Struthio camelus: one gene and its partners. The protein of the gene in region 3 interacts with the protein of the main gene of each other region in a pairwise test. Links are inferred from orthologs where the notes say so. Each region holds a gene or a part of one and is shown on either strand. Other genes may lie near its edges. The genes, in order: FSHR, UBE2O, APPL1 and ADIPOR1.

Evidence for each region.
Region 1: the proteins of APPL1 (region 3) and FSHR interact in a two-hybrid assay, tested with the Homo sapiens proteins (2 studies listed by BioGRID). The link is inferred for Struthio camelus from reciprocal best matches to the Homo sapiens genes APPL1 and FSHR.
Region 2: the proteins of APPL1 (region 3) and UBE2O interact in binary tests that used the Homo sapiens proteins (3 or more experiments, as listed by UniProt). The two-hybrid records come from large-scale screens. The link is inferred for Struthio camelus from reciprocal best matches to the Homo sapiens genes APPL1 and UBE2O.
Region 4: the proteins of APPL1 (region 3) and ADIPOR1 interact in binary tests that used the Homo sapiens proteins (3 or more experiments, as listed by UniProt). The link is inferred for Struthio camelus from reciprocal best matches to the Homo sapiens genes APPL1 and ADIPOR1.

Annotation. Positions count from the first base shown.
Region 1 is NC_090944.1:122,575,988-122,583,054, reverse strand, and holds the start of FSHR (follicle-stimulating hormone receptor), read right to left. Parts: upstream 3,020-7,067; 5' UTR 2,997-3,019; coding exon 2,812-2,996; intron 1-2,811. UniProt on the Homo sapiens protein: G protein-coupled receptor for follitropin, the follicle-stimulating hormone. Through cAMP production activates the downstream PI3K-AKT and ERK1/ERK2 signaling pathways.
Region 2 is NC_090960.1:9,208,967-9,216,078, forward strand, and holds the start of UBE2O ((E3-independent) E2 ubiquitin-conjugating enzyme), read right to left. Parts: upstream 3,018-7,112; coding exon 2,643-3,017; intron 1-2,642. UniProt on the Homo sapiens protein: E2/E3 hybrid ubiquitin-protein ligase that displays both E2 and E3 ligase activities and mediates monoubiquitination of target proteins. Negatively regulates TRAF6-mediated NF-kappa-B activation independently of its E2 activity.
Region 3 is NC_090955.1:15,492,757-15,500,250, forward strand, and holds the start of APPL1 (DCC-interacting protein 13-alpha), read right to left. Parts: upstream 3,008-7,494; 5' UTR 2,854-3,007; coding exon 2,800-2,853; intron 2,645-2,799; exon of another isoform or gene 2,344-2,644; intron 1-2,343. UniProt on the Homo sapiens protein: Multifunctional adapter protein that binds to various membrane receptors, nuclear factors and signaling proteins to regulate many processes, such as cell proliferation, immune response, endosomal trafficking and cell metabolism.
Region 4 is NC_090965.1:3,954,636-3,962,585, reverse strand, and holds the start of ADIPOR1 (adiponectin receptor protein 1), read right to left. Parts: upstream 3,012-7,950; 5' UTR 2,915-3,011; intron 2,596-2,914; 5' UTR 2,490-2,595; coding exon 2,346-2,489; intron 1,420-2,345; coding exon 1,303-1,419; intron 427-1,302; coding exon 255-426; intron 1-254. Other genes in the region: tetraspanin-18-like, read left to right, coding at 4,503-4,559, 4,803-4,997, 5,612-5,686, 6,033-6,131, 6,378-6,557, 6,849-6,932, 7,627-7,758. UniProt on the Homo sapiens protein: Receptor for ADIPOQ, an essential hormone secreted by adipocytes that regulates glucose and lipid metabolism. Required for normal glucose and fat homeostasis and for maintaining a normal body weight.

The DNA of each region.
Region 1 (7,067 bases), on a different chromosome or scaffold from region 3:
ACAGTCTTCTCCTGAAAACACTTGGCGCATGCCAACCGCACAGTATTCTCAGATCTGCAAGTAGCAACATACAAACTGAAGCATAACGTTCCTCCCAAGATTTTGGCGGGCAAGCTGAGCAGCAGACATGGCAATGAGAAAAGGAACGAAAACCCATTGTTTCTGGTCCCTGCTCTGTTACAATATGTTAAGTACAAACAGGAGTCGCTCAGAAAGTGAGACTGCCAACCCTTCCTGCTCTGACACACATGCTAAAGCAGGTGCCAAGCCAACTAGAAGCAAAAATCGCAACTCTTATACCATGCGGCAAAGCTCACGCTCACTGCTGAGTGTGAGCGCTCACCCTCAACAAACTGGTTACAAAAAAGATCCTGGCAGCACATGCCAAGGCCACAGACCTAAAGGAAAAAAAAAAAAAAAAGTCCATGGCAAAGAACAGAGATAACAGTTGATTGGTCTGAGATGGCCATATTTTTACCTTCATCCTGACTTTTCTCAGTAAGTGACCCAGCTGGTTGCCACGTACCATTGTATTCACTGAAACAGCCATGGTGAGGCAGAAAAACACAGAAATAGGGAAGTGCTCCCTCTTCAAACACACCTAAGGCTTATCAGGCTCCTGTTCTCACTCCAAAGCTTTCGCCTGTGTATCATTCAACATCTAAATGACATTAGTAGGAAAGCTATCAAGGCCACAAAGAGAAGGTGAAGAGCCTACTGAAGAGGACTCCTGCCCCTTATGTCAAAGGTAAATAGACCACAGCATCCAGCATCTTCCCAGAATTCTTTCCTAAATGAAAGAATTCACTGTGCAGGAGCTGTACTTATAGTAGAAACATGTCTGTGCTTGTGTCCTATGCAAGACTGTTGGACACTGTGGCCATCTATGCTCAAGCTGTTGCACGGGTTTTACAGGCCCTGTGACTCCTTGAGGTTTTTTATTCTCTGTTACCAACAGTGTGTTGCCACAGCAGCTGGAGCAGTAAACCTTATCTTAGCCAGCTGAATCAACCCACTGGGCCTTCAGCATACAGATGTGACTGTAGGAAGGCACCTTTTTATAGCCCCTCTTTTAACCTTGAATGAAAACCTAAGGCTTATCCGTCACTTAACTCTTCAGCTAATGTATCAAGCTTATTCACATTAATACTTGATATATCAGAAGTAACTTCACGGAGTTTTTATGGACAAATTCTTTAACCAGGATGAAATCAATCCCAGGACTATCACTGATTTAATGGGATGAGAATTATCTCCTGAGGAACCAAAAGTTGGTGCAAATGAGAAGAGAATCAGCTGAAGAGATTCTGACGCTAATATTTATAAAACACTTCAAGAAGTGAATCCTTTTTTCTTTTTTTCAGTCACACTAATGTCCTACTCAGCTGTTTCAGGGAACATAGAGTCATTCTGAGATACTAGCAACCTCAACAAACTCTTGAAAAGTTAACAAGTATCCACTGCAAACAAATTCCACTTACTAACAGGTTCCTTTTAGTGATATAAAACTCTATTTCTTTTCAGAAATAATTGTAGAATGATTTTGCTTAATCCCAAGAAGGCAGACCTTAACTGTGTAATCTAAAGAAACAATCAAAGCAAAATTAAACAAAATACCTGGAGTATGGTTCACTCAGGATTTAGATGACCTAAATCACAAATGGATTATTTTTTCCTCTAGTTGTGAGATTGATTTAAACTTTTACTGACCTTCTGCAGTTAATTCAGATATTTTTCTCAAGTTTTCACCACAGTCTACTTTAACCTACTTATTCACTGAACATAATGACTACTCCTTCTCAATTAAAGGAAACTTCTCCACTAGAAAAACTGTAGCATAGCATAGCACTGATAATATTATGGTCTGTAAGATCAGGCTAGTGACATACCATTCCTCCTCATACCCTCTCTCCAAACTTGCTGCTCCAGTTATTAATAACAGAGTTTATCCAGGACTGCTGCCTTCATTTTGCTTTAGGTCTTAATGATGTTAGATGGCTGTGGGTGTATGTAATCGGTGTTATATGAGGTGATATAACTTGCTATAAAAAAAAAATTAGAGAGTAAAACAATCACTTGGACTGCTAAAATATTTGCCATTCTGTGAATTCTCTTGCTAGCCTGTGTTACTGACACAGAAAACAGTTGCCATGCAGCATTTTTCATGTTATGTCATGTTTATGGAAAACAAAGAGAAGCCTTAAGATAGACAAAACTCCTTCTTGAGTAATACAGTACTGTATCTTTACATTGTTCCTTCTCACCAAATGCAGTCATACTACTTCTTTGATACAGGAGAGTCACACTCTGAATCCTTATTAGTTTTTTTTTTTTTTTAAATGTCTTCACAGTTTCAAATGAGAACAAGAAATTTCTTCTTGGCAAATAAATACAAACCTTTGCGAAGTTCCTGCAGTGCAAACAGGAACGCTCATCAAGTTGTTTGGGGCAGACAAGTTGTACCACACATTTCAATAATGCTAAAGCGAGCTGTAAAGAAAGCTTACACTTTATGCTTCAAATTACTGTTACAGTGCCGAGGAGGCTTGTTTAAAGTTTCCTCTATACGTTGCATTATAAAATACCGTATCTTTTCTTAACAGAGATCTTAAAATGAACATAACAGTAACAGAGAGACATTTCAAGTTGTAATTTAAAGAATGTCAGAGGAACTGCTGCGCTTTTCAAACAGCCGGTACAAGACTCTTGAGTGATTCCCTACAAAACTGATTCTTGGCTTGCCAGAGAGCAGTTTATTTAAAACAACAACAACAAAGCTGCTGCTTGCAACCGTTCCCTTTCCCTACTTACAGTTCAGTGGAGTTCTTGGGAATGTCCCGTGGAATCTGGATCACCTTGCTCTCCTGACAAATGAATATCCTGCCAGAGCAGTGACACGTGTGATGCTGACAACCAGAGCAGCCAGCCAGGAAAACCAGTAAATAGGCAAAAATAAGAGACATGTCTGTTTCTACATCTGTTCCCTTCTCCTCCATCTAGAAGAAGGGACTGCAGCAAGTTCCCTGTGCAACTAAGAGTGACTCCCTTAATTGAAGATCCGCCCTAAAAGCTGAGATGGATCATGTGATTCCTAGGGGATGACTTCTATGCAAGTTTCAGTTCATGGCCTGTGATCCTTTAGGGTCTTAGAGTGAGGACGAAGAGAAGCAACGCTGAGTTTCCAAGCCAAACTTATTTTATATTTTAAGTAGTGAAATCATGGCCTAACTGAGCTAGCCGTAGGACTTTTGACACCACTGCATATCTGCACTGAAAAAAAAGGGTCTTTCTTTTCAGCTATGCTACTTTGCATGCGTTGTTTGGTTAAGACCAAGGGCCAACAAAGCATTTTCTCCTTCTGCAGCCTGGGCTCTTTTTTCCCTGGAGAGGGAGAAAGGATTTTATGTTTCCCCTTCCTTGATCCTAGAGTCCCTGCTGGTAGGTTGCTCCTAGGCAAAAGAAATGTGTTATTTTTGCATTTTATAGGCTATATAACCTATTTTATAGGTTAAAAGCTACGCAGTCCTAAAGCCAAAGCTAAATGACACCCCTTTATTTTCAACTGTGTTTGATCTACATGCCCTAGCTGACTCTTTTCTTCCACAGCATCCTTAAAGAAACCCAAGCAGGAGAAAAAGCCATGATCCAAATGGTCCCTTGAGAACCGTAAGCTTATTTGATCATCTGGAAAAAAATCCTGAAGAGTTAAAGAAGTGGCTATTTGTGACACAACAGGAGGAGAAAACTTCAAAAACAGCATCATAAGGCCTGGAAACTGAATGCTGTCTTTGAGTGCTTATCTATTTATTTTTTGACTGAGCTAAATTATCTTTCTTGTTACAAATACTAATCCTTGAGGAAGGGACCTTGCTGTTTCCTTTCACTGAGTCATTCTACCACTTTATCATCAGGAACCAGGGTTTGTCCGTAAGACACTTGAAACTGGAATTTTGAGGTACACAGTTTTCTCTTTTTTTCAACTGTGTCGTTTACATTCCCATCTGTAAATGGCTTTCTCAGACACGCAGCGCTTTGAAGCTACGTGCATGTTAAATCCAGTTAAGCTGGATTTCCATGGGTAATTCTGTTGAAATGGACTCACATTCAATCCTCCAGATTGCTCAGAATGATTTTACTTTTGTTAGAAGCAGCAGTGAGGTTCCCCCCCCACCCCAATAATCAAAAAGCATAAGCAAACCTAATGAAACACAAGATTGTTTCTTTTTTCTCTGAAATTTTCTGGTCAAAACATTTCACCATTCTCACAATGGAAATAAGCTCCAAACTGTAGATGATTCTGAAGATGATTATGATTTTTAAAACTAATTTAACCCATTCTTTAAGTTATCCTAATAGTTACCCTAATTCTATAAAGTATCACCAAATTTTTATTACTTTTCCTCACTCAAATTAAACCTCCTGAAGATCAGAACAGTGACATTTTCACAGAAAAGGGTAAGAGATCATGACAGTTTCTTCCCAACGGTGGTAGACTTGTAATGAATTGTAAGAGGATTAATTTACCTATATATGTAAAATACAGTCTGTTTTGCTAAGGGCTCTGAATAAGTGTCAGGGTAATAAAAACGGCTGCAAAAAAAAAAAAAAATCTAAAATATTAGTGACTGTTTGTCATTCTTTGCCTAAAACTATTAAAGATCTTAGACCTACAAGCTCTACTGAAATGAATACAATCTTTACTTTCATTCATGCTGAGGGAAATGAAAACTGCAGAACTAAGTCCTATGATGAAATAAATTTCCACTTAATTTTGGTGTAAAAAATTCCCGTAGGCCGCTGCAAGTTGGACTAACGAGACACTTTTAGGATTTACACAAATGCCAGGAAGATAACTCATACGTATAAATTTTTTGTTCTTGCAGTTGTAATAGCAAGGCTCTAGTTTCTCCAGCTGTAGACTGAAAGTAGTCTGAAAAAGTATGAAGCTTGAGGAATATGTGGGACACAAGAACACTTGGTTAGGAAAGAATGTAAGGCATTTTCCTTCATTCTGAAATATATCAATATAAGTGGCCATGTTACATTGATGAAATAGATAGTCATATTTATGGCAAAATTAAGAAAAAAGTAATTACATTCTATGAATATCAAAATAAATGGTACCAACATGAAAACACAGCGATTTGATTAGCTTTGGGTTTCATATATCAAACTATGTAATTTGTTTCAGGTGACAGTTACCGTTTTATATGTGAAAAGTCAGGAAATTAAAAAAATAACTAGAGATACAAGAGATCTTTCCAATCATTAATGACTTTCAACACTGTACCAGATGTGCTTTCTTTAACATAACTCCTAAAACACAGACATTCTAAAACATCATCTCTGGCTCAGATGCAAATCATGAGACTCACGAAGAAAAACTGGAAGGAGGATGGCTCTTTCTGGTTTTGGTTTTGGAAGGCATTTTTATCAGTACTATACACATTGCTCCACAGTCATTTGCAACAAGTTGAGAGTGAGATGCTAATTTTAAATAACTAAAAACAAGACTCTCTTAGAATAGCATAGAGATAGGACTTTGAGGAAAACATCCAGTTATCATTAAATTCAACAAAATCAGACTAGCAAGCAAAATGGAACTGACATCAGTATTAGAGAAAGCACTAATTTGGAACCCCACTAATATTACCTGAGGATAAACAGAGATTTTCAAGGATTTCTGAGTCATTCTATACATATAATTTCTAATCCTGAAGAACAGACTCTGCGCTGTCCATCAATTTTTTGAATTGGAAATCTCTCTCCTAATTTCAGTTCACTGCTGTCAAACGACATACAGCTGCATCATAACATTCCCACGAATGAATTAATCAGCTGATGATCCTCTCTTGATGGCTGTGCTACCCGTTCAGGAACACACACCTGTCTCCTCTCAGGACAAAAAAAAACCTGGAAAGGAGGGAGAAAATCCCAAGGTTCCCGCCAGTCACTTTGGGGGAGGTGAAGTTCACAGACCCTTCCTGAGCATAGGGCTGCTGCTGCAACTACCACTGCGCCTGAAGACTCCAAGGGCCTGGTGCAGGGGTCTGTGAGAGCTGCTTAGAGTGAGACAGAAAGATGCCCTGAGCCTTTCTGCCACCTGAATACCCGGTGGTTTCTTACCTCTTCCTCAATAGCTTGTTCACAGCAACACAGGGGGCAAACTCCTGCCTCTGCTGACAGGCCCCAAGCACTCACCTTGCTGCCTTCATGGGATTACAGGCTGGGAGTAAGAACCTCTCTTGTGCCGATGGCAGGTGGGGATACACTGTCACTGACGTACATACTGATGAAAGTATAAATTCAGAAATGATGGTGTTTTCAGATATTTTTAAGAGCCTTCCTTGTCTTTGCTTCCCTTTGTAGAAGATGTGTGCTTCAGCTGGTAAATCAGTTTTAAGAATGTATACTGTTTTCCTGAACAAGAAAGCGGAAATTTCCCCAAACTGAACCACTGTAGCAGCAGACATGCAATGAAGTGAATTATGACAGATAATCTACGATATCATTGTTGAGTTTATGTAATTAGATGTCTTCTGGGGTAGACAGTGAATTCAAGGTTATATGGTCACTGAGGGCTCCCTTTTAAGACAACAATAAATGACTCTAGTTGATAGGACTGACCACTGATATTAGCATTGGCCTAATTTTGCAAGTACTGAACTAGAAGAACCGGGGCCTTTTCCGGATCGCATCCTTGGATGAAGAAGAGGTGTCTGCCCTAGGCCACGCTGCCATCTGGGTTGCCGAGGCTACAAAAGGAAGCAAAACGAACCGCCCCAGCTCTCACCAAACCTCTTCTAAATATACTGAGCAAACACATACTCCCTCTAAAGCAGTGTACTGACACGGTCATGCCTTCTTCCACAGCTCTGATGTTTAGATCTAAATGCTACTGTTTTTGTAAGGCATAAAGTTTACCAGCTATTGGAGTAAATAAACCTACAAGCCAGCAATTTCTACTTGTGTTTCTCTGCTCTTAAACAAAACATTAGGGGTAATAAGTATATATTCTTTTAATAACTACTGAACTACTACTGAATGCCACTGTAACGTTACCTTTA
Region 2 (7,112 bases), on a different chromosome or scaffold from region 3:
TATTTCAAGAGAAAGTTTCTATTACTTATTAACATCAGTAATTGTGTGCTGGGGTTTAAGCGGCAGTTTGCCTACCATTTCCAACAGGAAAGAACAAAGGTAAGCATAGAACATCTAGGAAAAACAGTAAAAAGGATTAGCCTATATAGTACCTGGCAGGGAAAAAAAAAAGTTTTAACCCACAAAGTTCAAGCAAAACACAAGAAATCTCTAGGGTTATAATCCAGTTTTTCTGGTTATAAACAACTGCATTTAACCTTTGCACTGGAAGCTGAAGGTACTCTTTCACTGTCCTCAAAATTTGCAACAACTTTGTTTCTCCCCTTCCTCAGTTACAACACATGCTCTTACCAATAAACCTGCCAGGGTTCATAGATCTTTAAGCGCTTGACAAAGAAGGATCCACATGAGAGAGACAGGCACACAAGCGTTTCACATGGGAAAGAAAAATTACCGTACAGAACAGGTATACAATTGTGCAAGATGAGGCTAGCAAGAGCCCTGACCCCAGGGCTACCTTTATCCTCTGACCATTACAGAATTAAGATCGCAGGGAAATGAAAGGTACCTTCAAAGAAACGGAATAGGTACTCTCTTGAATCCAGGGGCTGACTGTGACCAAGACAGTGAGGTTAACATAATAAAGACATCAAATAGAATTCCACAGCTAAAGATGCTGGAGAGTTAGAGGCCTGGCCAAAATAATTATGGTTGGCAACAACATTCTAAAAATTAACAAACTTTAGGCCCAGGACAACCACGTGGTCCTTATGGTTCGTACCCCTCCCAGCTCGGACAACAACAAGCATGTCAGCTTACCTGGCTGGTTCACCCATTAGTATAACGTGAAAGGGCTGGGTTAGAGGAAAGCTAAAAAACCCAGCTATAACCATGAAATGAGAAGTTCTGCAGCGCCTTTCCAGTGGCGTCAGATTTGTTTTTAGTAACCCTAAACTGCAGCGCAGATTGTACACAATGCCTATCCATTTTGTCAGCGGGCAGCTTTTTAAATGGAAAAAAATCAATATGACGGGAGTACACCTAAATTCCTTAGGCACTTAGGGAACTTTTCCCCAGGGGCTATTACCTGAATGGTAAAGCTGCCTACATCAGAGGGATATGACTTTGAAAAGGAAAGAAAGAGGACCATTTATTTACATAATTGCCTTTAACTTCTGATCCTCTGCAGTCTAGCTTTTTCTAATGTTGCGCAGGGTACAGTTAGCAAGTGACTAAAGTCAGAGCTAACACTTCCGAATTTGGGAATCCAGTAACAACTCCTAAGTCCATGTTTAATCACTCAAGTTGAAGTGGCCTCATTTAGAGGCTGAAAACACTCAACTTTGGACATATGTTGATGTAACAGCACACAAAGATTTTATTTGAAGGCTACAGTGATTGAATTGCGGCTCTAGGGAAAGAAGGTTTTTCTTAATGTAGAAATACGTAATGTGGAAATATATTTTCTTGATACCTTGCTTTCATTTTTCTCATCTCCTTACTGGTCACATGCCTAGTGACACTATCACCTAAATTTAGCTCATTCTGGTAGCGTGGGCAATCCTACCAATTTCGGTAGGAGCACAGCACACCTTTCTCTCCGTTTCCTCCTTTCAAAAATCAAGCAGAATGCTAAACAGCAGAGCAGATGGCATACCAGGAGACTCCTGCTTTTAGTTGCCACCCCAGAACAGCGCTCTGACTCGCTCTACTGCAAGGACAGCGCAGGCCTTCTGTTTTGTTCAGTGCAACGCCCATCCCTCGCAGGCCCCTTTGTGTTATATTACAGTGCCCCCTCTCTCTCTTTTGTCTCCTCTGTACTGCCAGTCACTCTGTGCAAAATCTGGCACCAGAATAACTTTGGGAAGTGGCAACGTTCTAACCCAGGCCTAAGAAGTGCCCTGAACCCTGTGGCTCTCTGGATGTAATTAAAAGGTCACAGATTTACCTAGGCCTCATCAAGAGAGGTAAACGTTCATGTAAACAAGGGCAAATCCAAACCACGGTTGCCCACCACTGGGATTTCAGCTAGTCACGATTACTCCGTTTAGCTGTTGGCTCCCCTACAACAGGCTACCATGATGCTGTCCACCGAAGAGACACTGGAGCACATTCCCAGCAAGTAAGAGAGGGTCGGAGAGCTTGCCTCTACTAGGAACTAGCTCAAATCCCCGACTGCACTTCCTCTAGTGCCATTAAAATCCAGTGCCTGGGAGAAACGGCTACGTTTCGACACCGGTGAAGCGCAGGAGCAGCGTTCACTCCAGGCAGGAGGCGAGGAGGATTCACTCCAGCATGACGAAAGACGGGAAACAGATTTCAGCCTCTGGAGGACACAGTCCACCTCCGGCGCTCAGACGCAGCACGCAGCCAGCGGCGGCACTTCTGGCAGGCGAGAGCGGAGGGATAACCACGAGAAGGAGCCGCAGGCCGGCTCCGCGGCCGGGCAGAGCCGCGCAGGCCCCTGCCCCACGAGGCCTCCGGCGCGGGCCGCGTGGGACGGACAAGGCCCCGCGACCGCGCGCCGAACCGGCGAGAACCGGCGGGGAGGCCGCAAAGGCGGCGGGGGGGGGGGGGGGGGACAGGGCGCGCCGCCGCCGCCGCCCGCCCGAGCAGGGGCCGGGGCCGGGGCGAGCCGTTACCTTGGTCTCCTTGACGTGCTGCTTGATGCCCTCCGGGTACCACTGCACCCGCACGTAGCCCCGCCGCAGCGGGCTGGCGCGGCCTTCCTCGGCGCCGCCGGCCCCGGGGCCGCCCGACTCGGAGCCGCCCGAGCTGGCGGCGCCGCCGCCGGTGCCGCGGCCGCCCTCCTCCTCCTCCGAGTCGGAGTCCTCGCCGTGGATGAGGCGCACCAGGCCGAACCGCACCGAGCCGCGGTAGCGGCCCGACACCAGGTCGTGCGAGAAGAGGAGGCGCTGCGAGCCGCCCGGCGGGGCCGGCGCGGGCAGGGGCAGCGCGGCGGGAGCCGGGGCCGGGGCGGCGGGGGCCGGGGCCGCCTCAGCGGGCTGGTCCGCCATGGCGCCGGGCAGAGCGGGGAGAGCGCGCGGCCGCCGGCGCAGGCTGGGGGAGGGGAGGGGAGGGCGGGGGGCGGGGCGGGCGGCGCGCGGGCCCCGCGCATGTAACGGCCCGGGGGCGGGGCCCGACCGCGTCGCCCCGCCCACCGCCAGGCCCCGCCCACCGCGGCGCCGGGCCTGCGCGGGGGGGGGAGAGGGAGGGCTGAGGGGAGGGGCCTGAGGGGAGGGAGGGCTGAGGGGAGAGGGGTGGAGGGAGGAGTGGGCTGAGGGGAGGGAGGGCTGAGGGGAGAGGGGTGGAGGAAGGAGGGGTCTGAGGGGAGGGAGGGCTGAGAGGAGAGGGATGGAGGGAGGAGGGGGCTGAGGGGAGGGAGGGCTGAGGGGAGAGGGATGGAGGGAGGGGAGGGCTGAGGAGAAGGGCCTGAGGGGAAGGAGGGGTGAGAGGGAGGGATGGAGGGAGGAGAGGGCTGAGGAGAGGGGCCTGAGGGGAAGGAGGGGTGAGAGGGAGGGATGGAGGGAGGAGAGGGCTGAGGAGAGGGGCCTGAGGGGAGGGAGGGATGGAGGGAGGAGAGGGCTGAGGAGAGGGGCCTGAGGGGAGGGAGGGGTGAGAGGGAGGGATGGAGGGAGGAGAGGGCTGAGGAGAGGGGCCTGAGGGGAGGGAGGGGTGAGGGGAGAGGGATGGAGGGAGGAGTGGGCTGAGGGGAGAGGGGTGGAGGAAGGAGGGGAGGAAGGAGAGGACTGCGGAGAGAGGGCTGAGAGGAGGAAGGAAGGAGGGCAGAGGAGAGCCAGGGATGAGGAAAGGGAGAGAGGGAGGAGGGAAGAGAGAGGGATTGAGGGAAGAGGGATGGGGAGGGCCCGAGGATGGAGGCAGGAGAAGGGGTGAGGGAGAGAGGGGAGGAGGAGCCGGGGCGGGGGAGGAAGCCCAGGGGGCAGAGAGGAGGACTCCGGGGAGACGGCTGAAGGCACCAAGGGGGAGCAGCCTCCCGCCGCGGCGCCCCCCGGGGCGGCAGCGACCCTGCGCAGCCGGGCCCGTCTCCTCCTCCCGGCCCGAAGCCCCCGTGCTCCGCCGGCTCCCGCCGCCACCACGGCCTCCCGGCGGGGTTGTTCCCAGGGAATTAGGGGCTGCGGCCGAGTCACAGCGGGAACCGCCCCGCGTTTCGGTAGCCCCCGCGCCCGGGGCCGCGCGACACCCCCAGGACGCCACCTCAGGGTCCGAGTGATATGAATCCCACCCGCCATCTCCTCCCTTCCAGCCTAGACTGGTGCTACCAGTCCGGGAGAGCTTCTGGATCTAGCGCGGCCAAGGGAGCGTGGGGGCGCACGAGGCACGGGCCAGCCTCCTGCCAGGTCCCGCACCAGCAGCCACCATCGAGGTCTGGCCACCTTCCGCGTGAGGGGAAAAAATAAAAAAATTAAAAAATATATGACAGGCATTTGAAGGCAAACTCGGAGACGGGGCGGGAAGAGGCAGGAGCCCGGCCTGGCTGGGCTGCTCGGGGCGCTGCCCCTTGTCATGCGCTCCTCCGGGTGCTGAGGTGCTCTCCAGCTGGCAGGAAAGCACGGCTTGGCTTTTTATGACTCCTAGAAATCCTCGTTACGGTGTGCGAAGGAGCCCAATGTTTGGCTTCGTTGACTCTTGTGGATATTTTCCCTTTTATCGGCAGGGATTTTTGAAATAAAAATAATTTCTTGAGAGGGCCTCGCTACCCGGGCAGGGGAAGGGCGAAGCGCATCCCAAATAGCCTTATTTGCCTGTCCTTTACTCAAAGATATCTTGTCACTTCACTCCATAGATCTCCCCGTCTGTGCAGCGCTGGCTGGAATATCAGGAAAATGCTTGAAATCCTCAGCCTGACTCATTTTATTACCAAAAGAAAACAAGAGCAGCATAGCAGTAATCTCCTCCTTTCACTCCCACAAACCCGAGCCCAGGGCTGGCCTGGCTCTATCCACCAGCTGGCTGTAGTTTCTCCTTCCAGGGTTTCTTCTTTCAGGAAAGGGACCGGAAACACAGCTTTTATTTTTAAAGCAGTTCCTGGATTTTTCCATTGGGTTTCTAGTCCTTCTCTGCCAGGAAACAGCACCCACTAGCTGTGCGAATCCGGAGCCTGGCTGTGCACGGAGCCCTCGCTGCAGCGGGCATCTCCCACGAGGGAGAGGTACTAGGAGCAGGATCACGTTTCCGCTCTGCCCAGCTCCTGAGATGTCCTCCTGCAGCGGTGGGTGCAGGGCACGCTTTCGGGCCGCCTTTGGGATGCTCTCATTGATGGCAGAGGGCAAACTATTCCTGACCTGTCTCCAGAGCAGGGAGCTGCAAGCGTTGCAACAGCTCGCAGTGTCTTCCTCCCTCTGGGTCCTAGGTCAGCATGACCCCCACATCAGGATTTAACAGCCTGCATCATTTTAAACAGAGGGGTGTTTTGCTGGTGTAGTTCCCTAGGGGAGCATTTCTCGGCCTTGACCCCAAGGATAAGGAATAGAACAGAGCTAAAAGAGAATGTTGTCCAGGTGGAAAAATATGGAGAAAGACAGTTTAAATATCTGTTCGACGTAACGTGGTTATACAGCTGTCGATATGGGCAGGATGGGCTTGTGGGAATGCAGATCCCCATCCACAAGCAAGAGAGGGCAGGGACCACTGTGAGGTGAACGAGACGAGGGGTGTAAAATCAGTGCTCAGCACTGTCAAACGCGCCTGTGCCGCCAGCACCATTTCACCCTCCTGTGTCACTCAGTCACAGCTGCGCTGGGGAAGGGTGTGCGGCACATCTCCCAAGGCCTGTATAGACAGCCCTGGCACACCCCCACGCTAGGTGCTGTGGGCCTGGTGCCAGCCTCCCTCCCTGGGAAGTCAGGGACAATTGTGGCCTTTCTCTGTGGGAACAGGATCAGGCCCTTTGGAGGGGTACAAGATGCCCTCTTCTTCCATTTGAATTGGCGTTATGTCCTTCTCATCATTCCACGAAAGGCCTAAAGCACAATGTGTATCCAGCGTGGTGATGTTTCTTATCATCTCCTTAATGTACACAGTAACAGCTGCTTATAAAATATAGATATAGTTAATGGGCGTAAACTTGTGTGTAGATGGAAACTGTCCCTCTTCAGAGCAATTACACGCTGCAGAGCAGCAGCGGGATTTCAGGTAGCCACAAATAGCCATACAAGCAATCACCTTATACAACCAGCCAGGCTCACAGCGTGGGGGGTTTAATGGGGCCAAGGCAGGGCTAGCTGGCTGCTAACAGGAGTCGAGCTGGGTGTGTTTTTGCACTCTGAGCTCAAACAGGGCTCTGATGTGCTCTTGTTCGGAAGTGGCACTGAAGAAAGGCTCGTCTTTTCCTTGGGAGCCAGCAGCCCCTGGCCTGGGCTGCTAACACCACTGAGATGCTTCAGGCGTGACAGTCCTTGGCTAGTGAGCATCTCCCCGTCAAGAAGCTAGGCAGTACTAGCTCTCTGGGGCTGGATCCCACATCTCCGCTGAGGGACCCCAGCAAGTCAGACCACTCTGCAAAATACTAAGGCAACACCAAGAAGCATCCTGCAGTTTTGTGTGTGTGATTTTTTTTTGGAGAACCAACTCGACTCAGCAGGTGGTCTGAACACCCAGCACTTGCGCAAGTGACACATGTCAAGCAGACTCCTCCTTTACGGACAGTTGCTGGTGTTGGACTATTTTAGGAATTGCTGTCACTTACTCTCTTTGCAGCACAGTATCTTCCTTGCGAATAAACTGCCTGGGTAACATCCCTGGCTTACCTGCTTCCACACAGAGAGGTTTGTGAAAAGCAAGCCCTGCCCTTCCTCCTCAGGACCTGGCTGGTGCTGGGTGCAGTGAGATGCATCTCTCACGGGGCATCTTTGCGAGGGCTTTGCGGGCCGAAGGGCTGCCTGGCACCCAGGGGTACCTTCAGGGTGCCCGGGGGTGCCAGGGCTGCAGCAAGGCGCCCGGTCACCTCAGCTGAGGAAAGGCTCTGGTGCCATCTCGTGGGCTGCAGCTCCTCTGCTGCAGGGCTGCAAAGGGGCCCGAGGGAGCAGGCCTGCTGGCTGCCGTGCGTTTTGGGAGAAAGAGGACGACACAGATCTTTATGCATACAAGGAGAA
Region 3 (7,494 bases):
CAATTTGAAAGGAATATCATGCTAGGTTTCTGGATGATCTTTACTTTTTAAAACAGAACACTGCAGAAGAAAGTACTTTCTATGTTTTATCGTAAAATAATCAGCTATTGATTCTCAGACTTCAGACTGACCCTATGTCATATTGATGGAAAGAAAAATAATCTGAAATTGGAAACAAGTAATGACAGACCTTTGCTTAGCTTAAAAGTCAGAGGAATTGTTTACTCTTGTTTCTAGCAAAAACTTGAGAAATTGTGTATATTATTTGAGACTCTTTCATGTCATATATGAGAGCAGGTACACTAGAAGCTACCGGAGATAAGCTACACAAAGAAATGATCTAGTGAGAAGCCAGTGAATCGTTAAGCATTCGATACCATCATACATATTGTACTGCAAGTGACGTGAGGCAGAGCCTGTGCTGTCGTGTCTCTTAGCTCTTTCATTGTGTAGTGGTTTGCAAATGGAATCAAGTCTGAGCAGAAACTCTCTCTAAATACTTCTATATATATACATATATATACACACACATACAGAGACAGAGAACATGTGTGTAATATATGCACTAAGTTAATTGATATTTGAATCAAAGTCCTTCGCTTAGCAAAAACAATGTAAACTTGGCATTTGGTTTATGTCCAAAGCCAGAGCGGTTAGATTTTTATCTTGCATCAAGACAAAGTAAATGGCATTGCCATTTTAGAAAAACACTTCTTTCCTTCAAATGCAGAACAAGTTTGATTTGATATTTATTTAAAATAAAATCACAGTCTCAAACATGTCTAAAAGTGCACAATTCCAGTCCACAATTCACCACAAAACAATTGTCTAGGTTGATGATCTCCTTCAATATTACAGCAAAACATTATGAACACTTCATCATAATCAGAGCATCATGAAAACTCCTGAAGGGAACAGGGTTTCCTCTTTCCTCAAGGATCACTTGTTGCCATTTATGGCATCAGACACTATCCACTACCAGAAGCAGAAGAGTAAAACCTGACAGTGATTAAGTAAAACAAAACTAAAGTGTCTTTAACCATGCTGATTTCAAAGTAACAGAAATGAACTGATGTAATGAAACAAAGCAACTAAGCCGCCATGGTTTTCTAATAGGTGATCAGTCAGAATTCACCTGAAATATTAGGTTGGCTGAAAGATGTAAAATTTTGTTCTTAAAACAGGAGAAGATATAAGCAAATCTTGCACATCAACAAGTAAGCACTGGGCTGAGTTAGGCTTTGCTAATCAGTTTTTATCACAGATAACCTCAAATGAAAAGATTCTAGACAGGCAATAAAAGAATTTACAATCATGTTCCAATAAGTAACCTTCTCTCATATGCTTCCCTAACGATGTCCCAGTCTAAAGGGCTTGAAGAAAACGCTTCATCCTACTTGTCATGTGTAAGACAAATTCAGTATTCAAAACGTTTCCTATAAGTAAAAACAGTTCCGATTTCCATACACTGAGAACAGATCTTCAATGGGTAATTCTCTTAAATTAGTATTACTATAGTGCATTCAGATTTTTTTCCTTATTTCAGTCAGATGGGCCAGAGACTATACTACAGGTTAGCTCTCATCTGAAACTCAGTATGACATCTGGCATTAGAGTTACACGGGGCACACTCTGTTCGAATGCAATGATGCATTCGCGACATGATCTTCTGTTGTCTTTTCTAAGCAGTCCCTCCACTTGATGTGGATTTGCTAAAATGGTTGTCATTCTAGGGGTAAATATTTCATATTAAGCAAATGGCAGTTTCTCTTCTGCCATTCTGTAGATTCCTCTTCTACAGCTGAGGAATCAAAAGTATCAATGAACATGCTATTACAATATAAGAAATCTTGCTCATCTACATAGACAACGCAGCAAAACAATGATGCTAATTCTAACCGTTGACATATGAGAAACTATATTATAAACTAACTTTCATTCATGCCTAGGAAGAGTGCGCAAAGTACTTGTTGCTGCCAACAACAGAAACCAGTACAACAGAATAAAGCATTTCCTGCTTAATAATAGTAAAAAATAGTAACGTAATATATGGCATCACTGACAAAGTTCAAGCAGCAGAAATGGAAGTGAAGAAAACAGCAATTAAAGGTCTCTCAGCACCATGCATTTCCCATCTTCTCACAAGCATCACGATATCATTCAGCAACTGCATTTCATATTTATCTAGTAAACCTTTTGTCTTTTCAGTAAACTATACACACATAACAAAACTCCTCTTGAGAAGTAAAGGATCCAGTAAAGAAGGTTTTCTCAACACGAGGTTTCCAAAATAAATCATGAATGTAAATCTGGCGCTGGGGGAAGGGAGGGACAAGCTACCACAGTGACGCCCGAGGCAAAAGCACTTGCATATGCAGCACAGTATCTCTAGAAAATCGTCATTAAGCTCGCTACTTTGTAAGCAGCTAATGAACCCGCAGGACACCTGAGGCGATGCGGTGATGCAAGCGGGAAGAAGGCGCCGCAGCGACACCTCGCCGGGGCACTGCCGGAGTTGACAGCCCAGGAGCCGTGACTCCCGGCCCCAGGCCGACCAGCCCACGGCCGAAGCCCTCCCGCACCAGAGGCGAGGAGAACAGGAAGGCAACCGGCCCCGCAAGCAGCGTCGCTGCGCCGCTCCCAGGTCGGGCTTCTCTCTCCCAACGGCCGCCAACGTCTCCCCGAGCCCCTGAGGGAGCGGGGGAAGGGGAGGGGGAAGGGGGTGGCGCAGGACCCAGTGCCCCCGCGCGAGGCCCGGCCTAACCTCCGCCCAGCCAGCTGCGTCGCGGCCCCTCTCACCTGGGGGCTGTCTTCCAGCGTCTCCTCGATGGGGAGCTTGTCGATGCCGGGCATGGCGGCCGCCGGGGTGGACTCTGCGCCGCTGCAGCTCCCGCACCCCACAGCGCACCCAGCTGACTGGGCCCCTCCCCCCTCCCTCCACTCACAACACGGGCGCCGCCGCCTCGCGCCGGATGTCCCGCCTGCTCTTCTCCGCCCGCCCCCCCTTCCGGTTCTGTTCTTCCTATTGGTTCCTTCGCCTCAGCCTGTCCAACTCCTTATTGGTTCGCGGCTGCGTCAGTTTGTCTGTAGGTGTTGGGGGGGCACGTGGGCGGTGTGAGGCACGTCGGGCCGCGCCGCGCCCGTGCGTGGGCGCGAGGGTCTGTTCCCTCATCCCGCCCTTTCGCTGCGGGGCGGGGGAGGGGCGCGCGCGGGCCGTTAAACGGTCGCGCCGCGGCTCTGGGCGTCAGTGCTCGCCGCGCCCCTGCCGTAAGCTGCTCCCCTCCCCCTCCCCCCCCCCCTCGTTAGCATCCCCTCCTTCCCCCGTCAGTATAAGTGGGCGAGGGGGAAGAGCTGTTCTCGCTCCTCGGGAGGGCGCCCTGTCAGCCGGTGCGTGTGGGCTGCCCCGAGTCCGGGGAGGTGAGTCAGAAGCACTGACGCAGGGCTGTTTCCACGCTGAGGCGTCGAGCTCTGCGGGCCTGACGGAGATGGTTGTCAGGCAAAGTTGCTGGGAAAACGCTGTTTTTTTTTTTTTTTTTCTTCTGAGTTTGGAGTTACAGGCGTTGTGCGTTAATTCAGTATGTTCTTCTAGCCTCACTGTAACTAGTGGGATTTTGTCTTTTTTTACTCTGTTATTGTCTTACCCCCTACCCCACCCCCGAAAAAAAAGAGATCATTTTGGGGGCAGAAGTGCAGTGGGAATAATGCTATTGTGGCCCTGTTGTGGTAGAAGCACTCTCCTGAGCACCAGGAACACCCCTTTTGAGAAGTCCCCTTTTATCTGTCTCTTGTCTCCTTCCATCATCATTCAGGACTTCTAGCAGGAAGGGATTTCTTTCTATCCATAAATACTTTGTATTTTTTGTTACAAAGTCACGGTTTCAGCTGAGGACTTGCTGTTCCTGAATGGGTCTTGAATGGAAAAAATACTCTTTATAGAGCAGAGTGTGGTCTTTCCCCTTCAGGAGGGTGTAATCAGTCCTAATGGGCTTTCTGGTTTCTTTGGCTGGCTGAACTTGCTGCTACAGATTGGTGGCCAATTCTAAGTGGCTGAGGCTGCTCTGAGGGCTTATTAGAATTGAACCAGGTCATTGTGCACTGTTTTAAAAATAGCATGTTCTTAAATTGCCCTTTCTACAGCTCTGAGACCAGGACATTTTGATCCTAGTTACTGTATTTTAAATTATTCTTGCAGGTTAAGCAGTTTATATTTTTAATACACAACCAGATTAGAAAGTAGGCTAAATTAGCCGGTGGAGCAAATGATTAACTATTGTACAGTCTTATTATGAAGACCTTATTTTATGTTTGTATAAGATTACATTTTGCTTTTAAAAGCAAATGAAGAAAAAAGCTGGTATTAAATTGTAAACAAATACAGCTTTTTGAGAATTTCTTTTTTTTTAGGGAGCGGTGAGGAATTCTGTGTTACAGCTCAGTTCAGTCAGTTCATTTACCAGCTCAGCTAGTGACTCATGTGGCCTGAGGCAAGTCACACTGTTTCACTGTCAATACTCTTTCCCTGTCACATGAGAGCAATAATAGAGTTATCTTACAAGGTGTTTTAAAGATTAAGTCTTTCATCTTCTTGTTTGGTCTTCTGCATTAAAATATTACTTGCTGAGCTATGATTGGATCCATAACTATTGTATGGCACACTAGTATTTTCTCATGAGATATATATATGCATAACTTTCTGGTTTTGAGATCAGTTAACTTGTGACCAATTTTTACAGCTGTCTTCTGTAAGAAATGCTCTCTATTTTACATAATATATAAGATTCATTTCCTTAGCAGGAAATGCTAAGATGGTAGCAAGTAACTTTAAAAAGAGTTGTTCTTTGTTACCTTTATATTTTTACAGCTTTAAGTGACAGAAGAAAAATGTGTTTGTTTAGCTGCTGTGAGTTGAGAAGAACAGCACTTAAATCAGAGAACTAAATGTTTCATTAAAAAAAACACTGACAACATGTCTTTAGTATGTAGAAATGTGTCTTGGTATCTCAGCTGGCACGTAGCATAAAAACGTGTCTTGTTTCTGTTGAAATTAGTGGTCCATTTGCCACTGGCTTTAATAGCAAGTAGGGATCTTTTTCATAATTCTGTAATATAATGCAGCTTCTTTTAATTATTAGTCAGGGTTTTTAAGTAAATCTGTTACATAAAACATTCTGTAATGTCTTACTGGTCTTGTTGTGCTACATATACTTTTTTACAAATGTTAGAAGGCATCAGAAGGTGTTATTTGGGATGCAAGTTTGACAGCAGCAGACAAGTTTGGATGATAATGAATTCCTCTAAACGCACTAATCAGTCTTTTTCAATGAGATAGATATATATATATATTTGTTAGTCTCTGTGATTCTTTTTTTCTTCTTTGTATCAATGACTGCTAGGAAACGGTAAGAGTGCGGGTAACTGACGCTTGACCCTGTATAAACAGGGAGAAGAGCAGTCAACGGCTCTTTAGAGGGCCTCAGATGGGTCCGCTAACAGAGTGAACGTTTTGCCTCTGCTGGAGGGTGAAAGTCGCTGTCTGGATAATCAGGTAAGTCTTATCTGCATCTACATGCGCTTTCTCAAACTTTTGCTGGTGCCACCCTTGGACTTACCTTGAATTTATTTGTGTTCATTTAATCTTCCTGGGTCAAAATAGCTTTTAACTCAGCCAAGAAATAGCTAACTGCTTTTATTTATTTATGAGAAACATTAGCAGTTTTGAGGCATTCTTACCTTTTAAAAAAACAAACGAAAAAACCTCTAAATTTTGAAGCTGGCTTTTACTATACCATTCATTGACTATAATGTTATATAACTATAACATTTGACTATAACATTCACATTCAAAATGTATCAGGAGGGGAGCTCTGTGTGGAATGTCTGTGGCAGTGAGATACTGCTGCACTTGGGTGAAGGAGCTGTGGGAAAGGTGAGATGAAAGGCAATTTTTTTTTTCGTGTGATAAGTGATCAAGAAAGATGTATATACACCATTTAGCCTATTTCTAAAAAGCCAAAGATACTGGACAGGCTATTGTGAAAGGTGACTTGGCAGTGGAGTAGCAATAGGTGACAATGCTAATAGGTAGCAACAGTGACCAGTGGGGTTTTAGATGGAAGCCACCAAGAACTCTTCATGTGGTCACTTCAGCTGACTATTCTATTTATAAATAGAGTCCTTAGAGGCTTCACTTCTCTAAAGTACAAGAGCTCCAGCCACTCAACAGATGGACTCTGCTGTCCCTCAGCAAAAAACTGTGAGTGGGGCCAAACCAGAAAGGAAGATTAGAGTTAGCTACCTCACCAATCATGTGGTGCTGTAAAATGAGCAGATCTGTACATCCAAGGAGCAGTGATTTTTTTCGACTGTTGATTACTCAGGATTTTCAACCTAATGTTTGTTGTATTGCTGTGGTATTTATTTACTCAAAGCTATTTGTTTAAAATTCTTTAGATAAATTCATGACTTGCAAGTGAAATCTTGGCCCATTAGAAATGAGCAATAAAAGGGGATGTCATTTTTGAATGGAAGCTCAAGCTGTATTTCTACTTTTAGTAGAAATTCCTAGAAACTGAATCTACTTCTTTACTGTCAGTTCTTCTTAGATCTAAAACACTGTAACCTTTCTGCCCCATGAAAATACATTTTTGTTTTCACTTTTTTATAGAAAGGTTTGACTATTTTTGCATTAGTGACAAATATTTTATATATAACTAAGCAAGCTTCTCTCCAAAGAAGTATCGCAAACTTTGGAAGTTTGGTCTTCAGCCAGACTTCCTGGTAGATATATTTCTACATGTATATAGTTTTGGAATGAAGTAGACTTGTTATCTTTAGAATAATTTCTCTTAACAGTTTGTGAAGTCTCCACAAGATATGTGGAGCTGCATGAACATTATAAAAGTCTCTTAGAAATATGATGTTTCAATTTCACTGAATTCCGCAGAAATTAGAAAGTGTGATGTGCACGTCCACTTTGTGAACTTATTAATTGGTGCTTCCAGTTCCTATAATAAGTTGCTGCCAAGAACTCAGTTTAAAAACAGAATGTTGATATGTTACTGCATTGTTGTTCCTGGGTGTGAATCAATTCAGCACTGAGCAAATTAATATCATATGATTATTTTAGTAGTAGCACAGTTTCTTATTCAACTGTCTGAATATTCATTGTTGAACAAACTTAATGGCTGGGCAAGTATAAACACCAGATGGCACTATTTGATTAGTTTCCAACATGTGTCTAACAAACTTAGATATCTGGGTTTTGGCCTATTTTGTGAAGATTCTTTCTGAGAGCTATCACAATCTCTTTTCCCTTGGGGGGGGGGGGGGGAAGGGGGAAGCCTGCAAGTTGCTGAGTGTTCCCAAGTGGGAGTTAAAATCAGAATACCTTACTGAAGGTTTTCTGCATCTTCCACAAGCTCAGAAAGTCCAAAAATAGATTGTAAATATTTGATCTAGTTAATGGTTAGCTTTGGGGAGATTAAGTGTCGCTTA
Region 4 (7,950 bases), on a different chromosome or scaffold from region 3:
TTAGGCTCAGGGTTATTTTAAGGGCTGCTAGCCCGTTCCTGAGTTTCAGAGGAAAGCGTTATGAAGTATCTGTTACACCTAACGTACATTTTTCCTTCCCTAGAGTAGAAACAGCTCATCTGACCTGTGCTGGCAGATCCACCAAGCAGCACTGGTAGAACGGCCACAGCGCAGCCTGGTCTCGCCCTAGCCAGCCCCTAAAGCCTGCGGGAAAGGGTCCTCCGAGTCCTCAGCTCAAGCCCCGCCTCAGGCACCTAGCAAGTGCGTCCAGATGTTGCCCGTCTCGGTGTGTATTCGGAAGATGCTCTTGAAGCAGGCTCGAAAGGACGGCATCGGAGGTCTGTGTCCATGCAGGAGGTAATCGTTATCCTTCAGCCAGTCGGGCAGCACGTCGTAGGGGATCACACGCCAGCGCCCTTCCCACACCTGCAACACACCAACCCATGCTGGTGACCACTGGGGCTGGCACTTGCCAAAGCATCAAGCCAACCCAGAGGCCCTGGTTTACTCGCCCCAGGCAGCTCAAAGTCACACATGGAACAAAACCACCAAGACTCTTCCCTACGGCCAAGGCTGAAAAGGTCCCTGTAACTCTCCCTTGGAAGAGGAAGTTCAACTTTTGCAACATCAGACACCCTATGGGACCCCTTAAACCACCCACATCCTGCAGAGCACTCGCCACATTTCCCCCCACCCCCGGGGAGTTCAAGATGATCCACACCCTTGCATTTAACCCATCAACACCATCAGCAATCTCTCTGTTCTCTGCAGCAGGGAGTTCCCTTTGAGTTTGGTCAGGGAAAGGGGATCTCTAGTGACAGAAGTGCCCTGGGTCTCGGCCTCACCCAAGGCACCTGTGTCACTGCTCACCCAAAAGTGGTGGCTGAGTGCAGGCACTGCTCTGCCTGGGGCAGAGCGGAGGCACCAGGCAAACTGGCAGCAGTGCTTCATGCTCCCCATCCCTGCCTGGATGCCCACAGAGGCACCGGCGCTCTCCAAACCGCTCCTGAGGTTACCGCTAATCCGAGGGGGCTAGACACAACCTCCAGCTGCCGACTGGGAACGCTGGCGCTTCCCAGCTGCTGTCATCCACTTCCCACATCGCTCCCCGGAGACACTGCTGGGACCAGGCCCAGGTGGCGAGCAGAGCCAGAGCAGACTGCAGGCAGAGCCGCCCGGCTGCGCAGCGCTCTCCTCACCCGGGGCCAGGCAGAGCGACGCGGTCCAAACCCCACTCCGGGGCCTTTGGGCTTCTCTCATTCTCCAAAATCAGGGCCGGGGGATCACTACAAACTCCTGTACCTTATACACGAACTCTTCCATCTTCTCCATTGCGTGGTGAGCCTGCAGAGGCAGAGTCAGCACACGGACCACCTCCTCCTCTTCCTCACGGGTCGCTGGGCATGGCGGGTCTTCAGCCTAGAGGGAGAAACACCGGGAGGAAATCATTCCGGCTCCCCAGAGAAACAAGAGCACCAGAGAACGGCGAGTCTTTTCTAAGAGCACCTGGGGGCTTCATCCTGCCCTGAGGGCACAGACAGGGCCCACTGCTCACCACTGCTTATGCAACATGTTACTCTCTTAACCATCTCAGGCAGGCTAATCCCAGATTTATTCTTGTTTAAAGGCAGGATTACAGGGGAGGATTTTTATCCTTACAACCAAGCCTGCAGGCTGAAACAGCCACTTGGGTCCAGCCAGGCTGAACGGCCCAGAAAATCCGACTGTCTCTCTGGGCAAACAGCCTTCCCACTGCTCTCCCACAAGTGCTGGGTACAATCTACCTGTCCGGGCCTCAATTTCCTCTCTCCTCTTTTTCCATTAGCAGGTTTGGGAAGGTGATTTCTAGCCCTAAGGGCCAGAAAGCAGCTGAATGACTAAGAGCACCCCGTTCACTCCAAGCAGCTGTGCTGGCATACAAGGACAGCACATCTTGGCTGACATCTCTGCACAAAGTCAATGCCTGTAAAATAAGAGAAGTTTTCGGGACAGGTTCTTGGACAGCTTTGAGCACAGCACGGACAACTTGTCAGCCTTTGGGTAACGAAGCACCTCACACCCTCTTTGCACTGACTCAAAAGCAACTACTAGATTCAGGGCTTTGAAAAGTACACTACGTTTCCAGCTTGCATCCTTCAAGCTGCTAATGGGATAAGGGGCACGTTTCTAGGTTAATCCTGCAGGACAGCGTGGAAGAGCCTGAGCAAGCAGGAACGGATCGGGCCGCAACTCCGGAGCACGTCCCGCTAAGGCCGCCCGCCAGCTTCGGGCTGATCGACGGGGCGAAACGCCGGCGGAGCGGGAGGGATGAGCGGAGGTTGGGGGGGGGGGGCCTCAGGGCTTACGCTGGCCGAGCTGGCGGCTCCCTGGTCCCCCTTCTCCTCCAGGAGCGGCCCCAGCTCGGCCAGCTCCAGGTGGGCTCGCTCCCGGCCGGCGGCCGCCAGCCCGTTGCCCTGCCCGGCGGCGGCGGCGGCTTTGCGGGACGCCATGGACCGGGGAGGGGGGCGGCGGCGACGGGAAGGTCCTGGTGGCCGAGGGCTGGGGCGACGCCGCGGCTGCCGGTGCAGGTCCCCTCCGCGTCCGTGGGCCGCCGCGCTGCCAAGGGAGGAAGAGCAGAGTCACCGCCACCGGCCCCGGCAGCCCCCCCCCCCCCGCCCCGTTACCGGGCACGGGCCCTCCGCGCGGCTCCCCCCGCGACCGGCGGGGACCGGCACCCCGACCCCGACCCGTACCGCCCCGGCGCTCCCGGCAGCGGCACCGACCTCCCCGCCGGGCCGGGCCGGGACCCGCGCTTGGCCCGGGGCCGCCGCCGCGGGGCAGCGGGAGGCCCGGACACCCCGCTCAAAGTCCCGGTGGGGGGGGGGGGGCGGGAGCGGCGGAGCCTCCCCCCCCCCCACGCCGGGCGCGCACTCACCGGCCGCTACATCCCGCGCAGGGGCGGCGGCGGCGGCACCGGAAGCGACGCGGAGCGAACGGGGCGCTTCCGCCCCGCCCCGCGGAGGAGGACCCCCCTCGGGGGCGGGGGCTACGCGCTCGCGTATTCTGATTGGCCAACGCCGCCGTCTCTCCCTCTCTCTCCCCGCCCCGCCGGCCGCGGTGATTGGGCCAGCCGCGGGGGAGGGCCGCGCCGCGGGGAGGCGCTCTAGCCCGGGGGGGGGGGGGGGGGGGCTCGCTGGCCTCGCGCGCGGCGGCCGCCCCCCTGCGGGCGCCCTGGGGTGGGAGAGGGGGCGCCACCTCCGGGAGTCCCGTGATGGCGGCGGGGCCGGCGGGGGCCCGGGAGGGTGCAGGGGGGGCCCCCACCCGGCGGCGTGACCGGGGAGCGAGGGGACAGACACCCGGGCCTAGTGCTGCCGTGGGGCCTGCGTTAGGGGGGGGCAACGGGCCCTGTTGCCATGGCAACGCGGCCTCGGGATGGAGCCGTCCGGCCAGGCCTGGGCCCGCTCGCAGGCTCCGGCCTGGCGGCACCAGCGGCGCCCGCTGCAGACTCACGAGGCTTTCCCCGAGGAGCGGCCGGGCCAACGCACCGAGCAAATGTCCCCAGCAATAATTCATGGCACAGGTCGCCCTCGGCCCGCTGCAACCGGCTCGTCTTTCCACGCTCGCCAAGGGCCAGATTTAATTACCTCTGCTAACGACAGCCCGGGGCCGGGCTCTCCTGCTGCCCTACATCCACCTCCTCGCACAATGGCGAATCCTGTTCCCCCATCAATCATTCATGGCCCCGCCGTTGGAAGGGGTTTCTCGGGGGGCTGCACCCCCAGGAGCGGGGGGGGGGTGGCGGAAGTTTTTCCAACCTTTCTAGTGTTGAATAGTCGCAGGCAGCCCCAGAGCAGGTCAGAGGCATCCGGGCCACCCGCTGCCCTTCTCGGGTGAGTGATGATGTAGGGTTCGAACCGTTTTGGGGAGCAGCGGGGTGAGGGCAGGCAGACGGACTGTGCTGTGGGGCTGGCGAGATGCTCTGGGCATGTGGGTTTCTGTGGGGCTGTGCTTCGTCCCTGGGGAAGCCAGGGGGCCCGCAGGGCTCAGTCCCTTTGTGGGGATGCTGTGGCTCAGCCCTCTCTGCTCCTGGAAATCTTAAGTGTGGATTTGGGGGCTCTCAGCACCCACACGAGGCACTGGCTCCATTGGGGCACTCAGGAAGGGTGCAGCACCTTTCCACGCACGGGGCCGCTGCTGACCCCACGGCACCCTGGTTATCGCTCCCCCATGTAAGGAGCCGGGGCTGGAAAAGGAGATCTGGTGTGTGCCAGGGCAGAGCTGGGAAGCGTGGAGGAGGTTTGCAAGGAGACAGATTCCTCCCAGTCCTTTCCCAGTGCCTGTCCCCATCCCTCCCCTCCATGGTGGCAGGGGAGGTCCCACATCCCACTGGACCTGGGATGCAGGATAGGTGCTGGGACCGGCTGCGGGCCAGGGCTCTGCTCTCTCCTCTTCAGGGACGAACACCACCGCCGTGCTGCCGTCTGTCTGCAGAGTTGTGACCGTCTCATCCCCTCAGTGTCCCCATGGGTATTTTGAGCTGCATAAAGTACCTGATGTTCATCTTCAACGTGCTGGTGTTTGTGAGTCCACCGGGGCCCGGTGGGATGGGTGGAGGGGAGCTGGCACCGTGCCGTGCCTGGAGCCAGAGATGGCTGATCCCACCTGAGGGGAGCCGGTGCACGACACTCTGGTGTCTGTCAGGCTCAGGGATGGGTGGCGCCAGTCCAAGGGAGGTGACCCCAGGAGATGTTAGAGCATCCCCAGTCCCCTGTGGGGTAGCTGGGGCTGGTCCCTGCTCCCCGTGACCGTGGCGTGTCCTGCAGGCTGGGGGGACGTGCCTGTCAGGTGTGGGGGTCTGGGTGGCTGTGGACCCGGCTGGTTTCCAGGACATCGTGGCCACCAAGGCCGTGCTGAGTGCAGGCGCCTACCTTCTGCTGGCCGTGGGCATCGCCCTCTCGCTTCTGGGCTTCCTGGGCTGCTTCGGGGCCCTTCGCCAGAGCCGGCTGCTGCTGCTGGTGGTGAGTGAGGGGAGTTGCTTGGGAAGGGAACGGCGGGGTGCAGGGAGCCAGGCGGGCAGGGTGCCGCTGGATGTAGGGTGTTACGGGATGCAGGGATCCAGGGGATACGGGGTGTTGTAGGATGCAGGAAGTCGCAGGACTCAGGGCAGCCCCACATGAGCCAGGAGCCTGGTGACCCCCAGCCTGGCCCCATCGTACTCCAATCCAGCCCCCACCTTGTGAGACTTGGAATTTAAAACCCAGGGGATTTTATAAAGCCACTCGTTGGGTTCATTTCTCTCTGAAGCTGCTGGCTTGCCCCATGCAGTGTCCGAGCTTTTCACCTTGATGGTGAGGGCTAGAAACCCCTTTCTGAGGGAGGCGCCACAATTTCTTTGGTGTCCCCTGACTCTGGCAGCTGGCGCTCGTTTTTAAAGCTTAGCCTTGCAGCTGTGGTGCTGAGACATGCATCTGTCCCCACAAACTGCACACTGGTCCCTGCTCCCTTTGCTGGTCTCAAAGGCACCGGGGAGGCACACAGGCAAGGATGGCTGCAGAGGCGGAGAGGAACAGCCGGAGCGAGCCGTCCTTGGGGTCGGGCTGGTTTCTGACCCCTCCGTCTTGCTGCCTTCCAGTTCTTCATCCTCGTGAGCCTCGTCTTCGTCACGCAGCTTGTGGGGGCTGTCCTCTTCCTGGTGCACTGGAAACAGGTACCATGCCCTTACCCTGCTGTGGTGCCCGGCATGGCCAGCCCCATTCCTCCCTGCATTAGGCCATGGGGCATGGTCCTGAGCCCGCCAGGAACTGGCCAGGGACTGGGACCAGTGCAGGGATGTCCTGCCTCGCCCTCAACTTCATCACTAGCACCCTGATGCAAGCCTGAGCCTGGCTGGCCCAGCCTTATGGAGGGGATGGATCCCTGTGTCCCCTTGGAGAGGTGACTCCCTGCCTGGTGCAGCGCTGGTCAGGGGTGGGTGAGGGCAGGTGCGCGGCCCCCTGTGGCCCCCGTCTCTGGCGCTGGTCCCATGGCACCCGCAGACAGCACTAATTCTGCAGATCCGTCCAGAGCTCTTCCTGTCCGAGCTGCGGAGGAACTACTGTGGGGATGAGGACACCAAGGTCTTCTCCACGGCCTGGAACACCCTCATGATTACGGTGAGCGGCCGGGGGGCACCCACCAGGCTGCCCAGGGATGTGAGGCACCCATGGGCCCTGCTGAGGCCCACCAGCCCTCAGCTCAGGGGCACCCTGAATGTGGGGACCAGGCTCATGGACCCCAGACAGACACCGAGCTCCCGCTTGGCTTTTCCCCCTCCCAGGATGCCCTCCCTCCGTCACCTCCCTGAGTGAAGGCCCATTGTGTGTCGACAGCATGTTGATGGCATTTCCCTTCCATTTCAGTTCTCGTGTTGTGGCGTTTTAGGGCCTGAGGACTTTGGGAATGGATCCCGGTTCCTGGAGCTGCACCCGGGGATGCCCTGGCCGCAGGCATGCTGCACCCGGGACGGGCTCCTGCAGGCAGGCGAGCTGCTGGGCTGGGAGCAGTGCCGGGAGAGGAGCCCTGGCTACATTCATGAGCAGGTAGAGCCACATGGGCACCCGCCCTGCCCTGCCATGTCCCTGGCCTCCCCAGCGCTTCCCTGACACGTGCTGATGGGACACCACTGTCCTCTGCCCCTGAGCAGGAGCCCGGTGCATTACCTGTGCTGTGGGTCTGCAGCCCAACAGCTCCCCAAATCTCTGGCTCATCCTGTCCCACCGTGGTGCTCTCCCACATATCCTGATCTCCCCCAGCCCCCTTGGTGACTCTCTAAAGCTCTGCAGCAGGCGAGAAGTGCCATGGAGTCCCTAAATCATCCTCCTCCACCCTAGGGCTGCTTCTCCACCATCGGCAGGACCTTGCTGAAGTACACCTCTGTCCCTGGGGCTTGCAGCTTGGCCGTGCTGGGCATCGAGGTACTGAGCGAGGGATGGGGCTGATGGGAACGGTACTGGTTATAACCCAGGACAGGGTGGGGAGCAGGTCACCCCACATGGGCTCTCTGCCAGGAGGGTAAGGGACAACGCTCTATGCCTGCAGAGGGACCGCAGATCTGCTCAGGCAGGACCCACCCAAGCCTCTAATTCCCAGCACCACAGCCATGAAGTGGGTGCACCTACAGTGAGGCTGTCTGTGGGGTATAAAGCTCTTGCCCAACTCTCCTGCTTGCTGGGAAAGAGCTGGATAAATGGAGGGATGGCTCCAGGACTGAGGGAGGGGGGGAAGGTTTATTTTGCTCCTGCAGCACAGGCCCGGGGCAGGGGGTTGCTGCTCAGCAGGCTCTCTGCAGAGCTCACAAGAGCTCAGAGGTGCCCCCTGAGCCACAGCTTTTACTGTGCAGCAAAAGGGCAGCTGGTGCGTGGTCCTGCGAGGGGCACAGCCATCACCCCCTGCCTTGATTAGAGCCAGAACAGATGCACAGCTGGGTCCTGTAGTCCTCATGCTGTCAGATTCCAGCTGGCGGCTGTCTCAAGGGGCTGGAGTGTTTGCAGGCTGCTCTTGCCCTGCAACAGGGAGATAACCTGTTCCCCCCCGCCCCGCCCCTCCTTTTTCTTCAGATCTTTGCCATGTTCTTTGCCTTTTGCCTTTATTACAATTTCGACTGAGCAGGACGCTAGGAGCAGGACGCCACGACCGCTGCGGGTGCAGCAGAGACAAGCCAAGTGCTTTGGAAACGGCAACAGGCCAGGACACTCCATTCTCTTGCACATCAGAACACGGCTCTTTAGTTTAGCACTGTAGTTACCTCCTCAGGCAGGCAGAAGCCTGGAGTCCTGCATCTACAGGACACAGGCTAACTTCCTCACAGACAAGCCTGCGGACTTACTAGAGAATTTCCAGAGTTTAACACTACAAAGTAGTTTAAATGCATCTTCTGCTTAGCATCTGCTTTCAGCTTGCTTTGATGCAGGGACAGCAAACTAGAAACTGCAA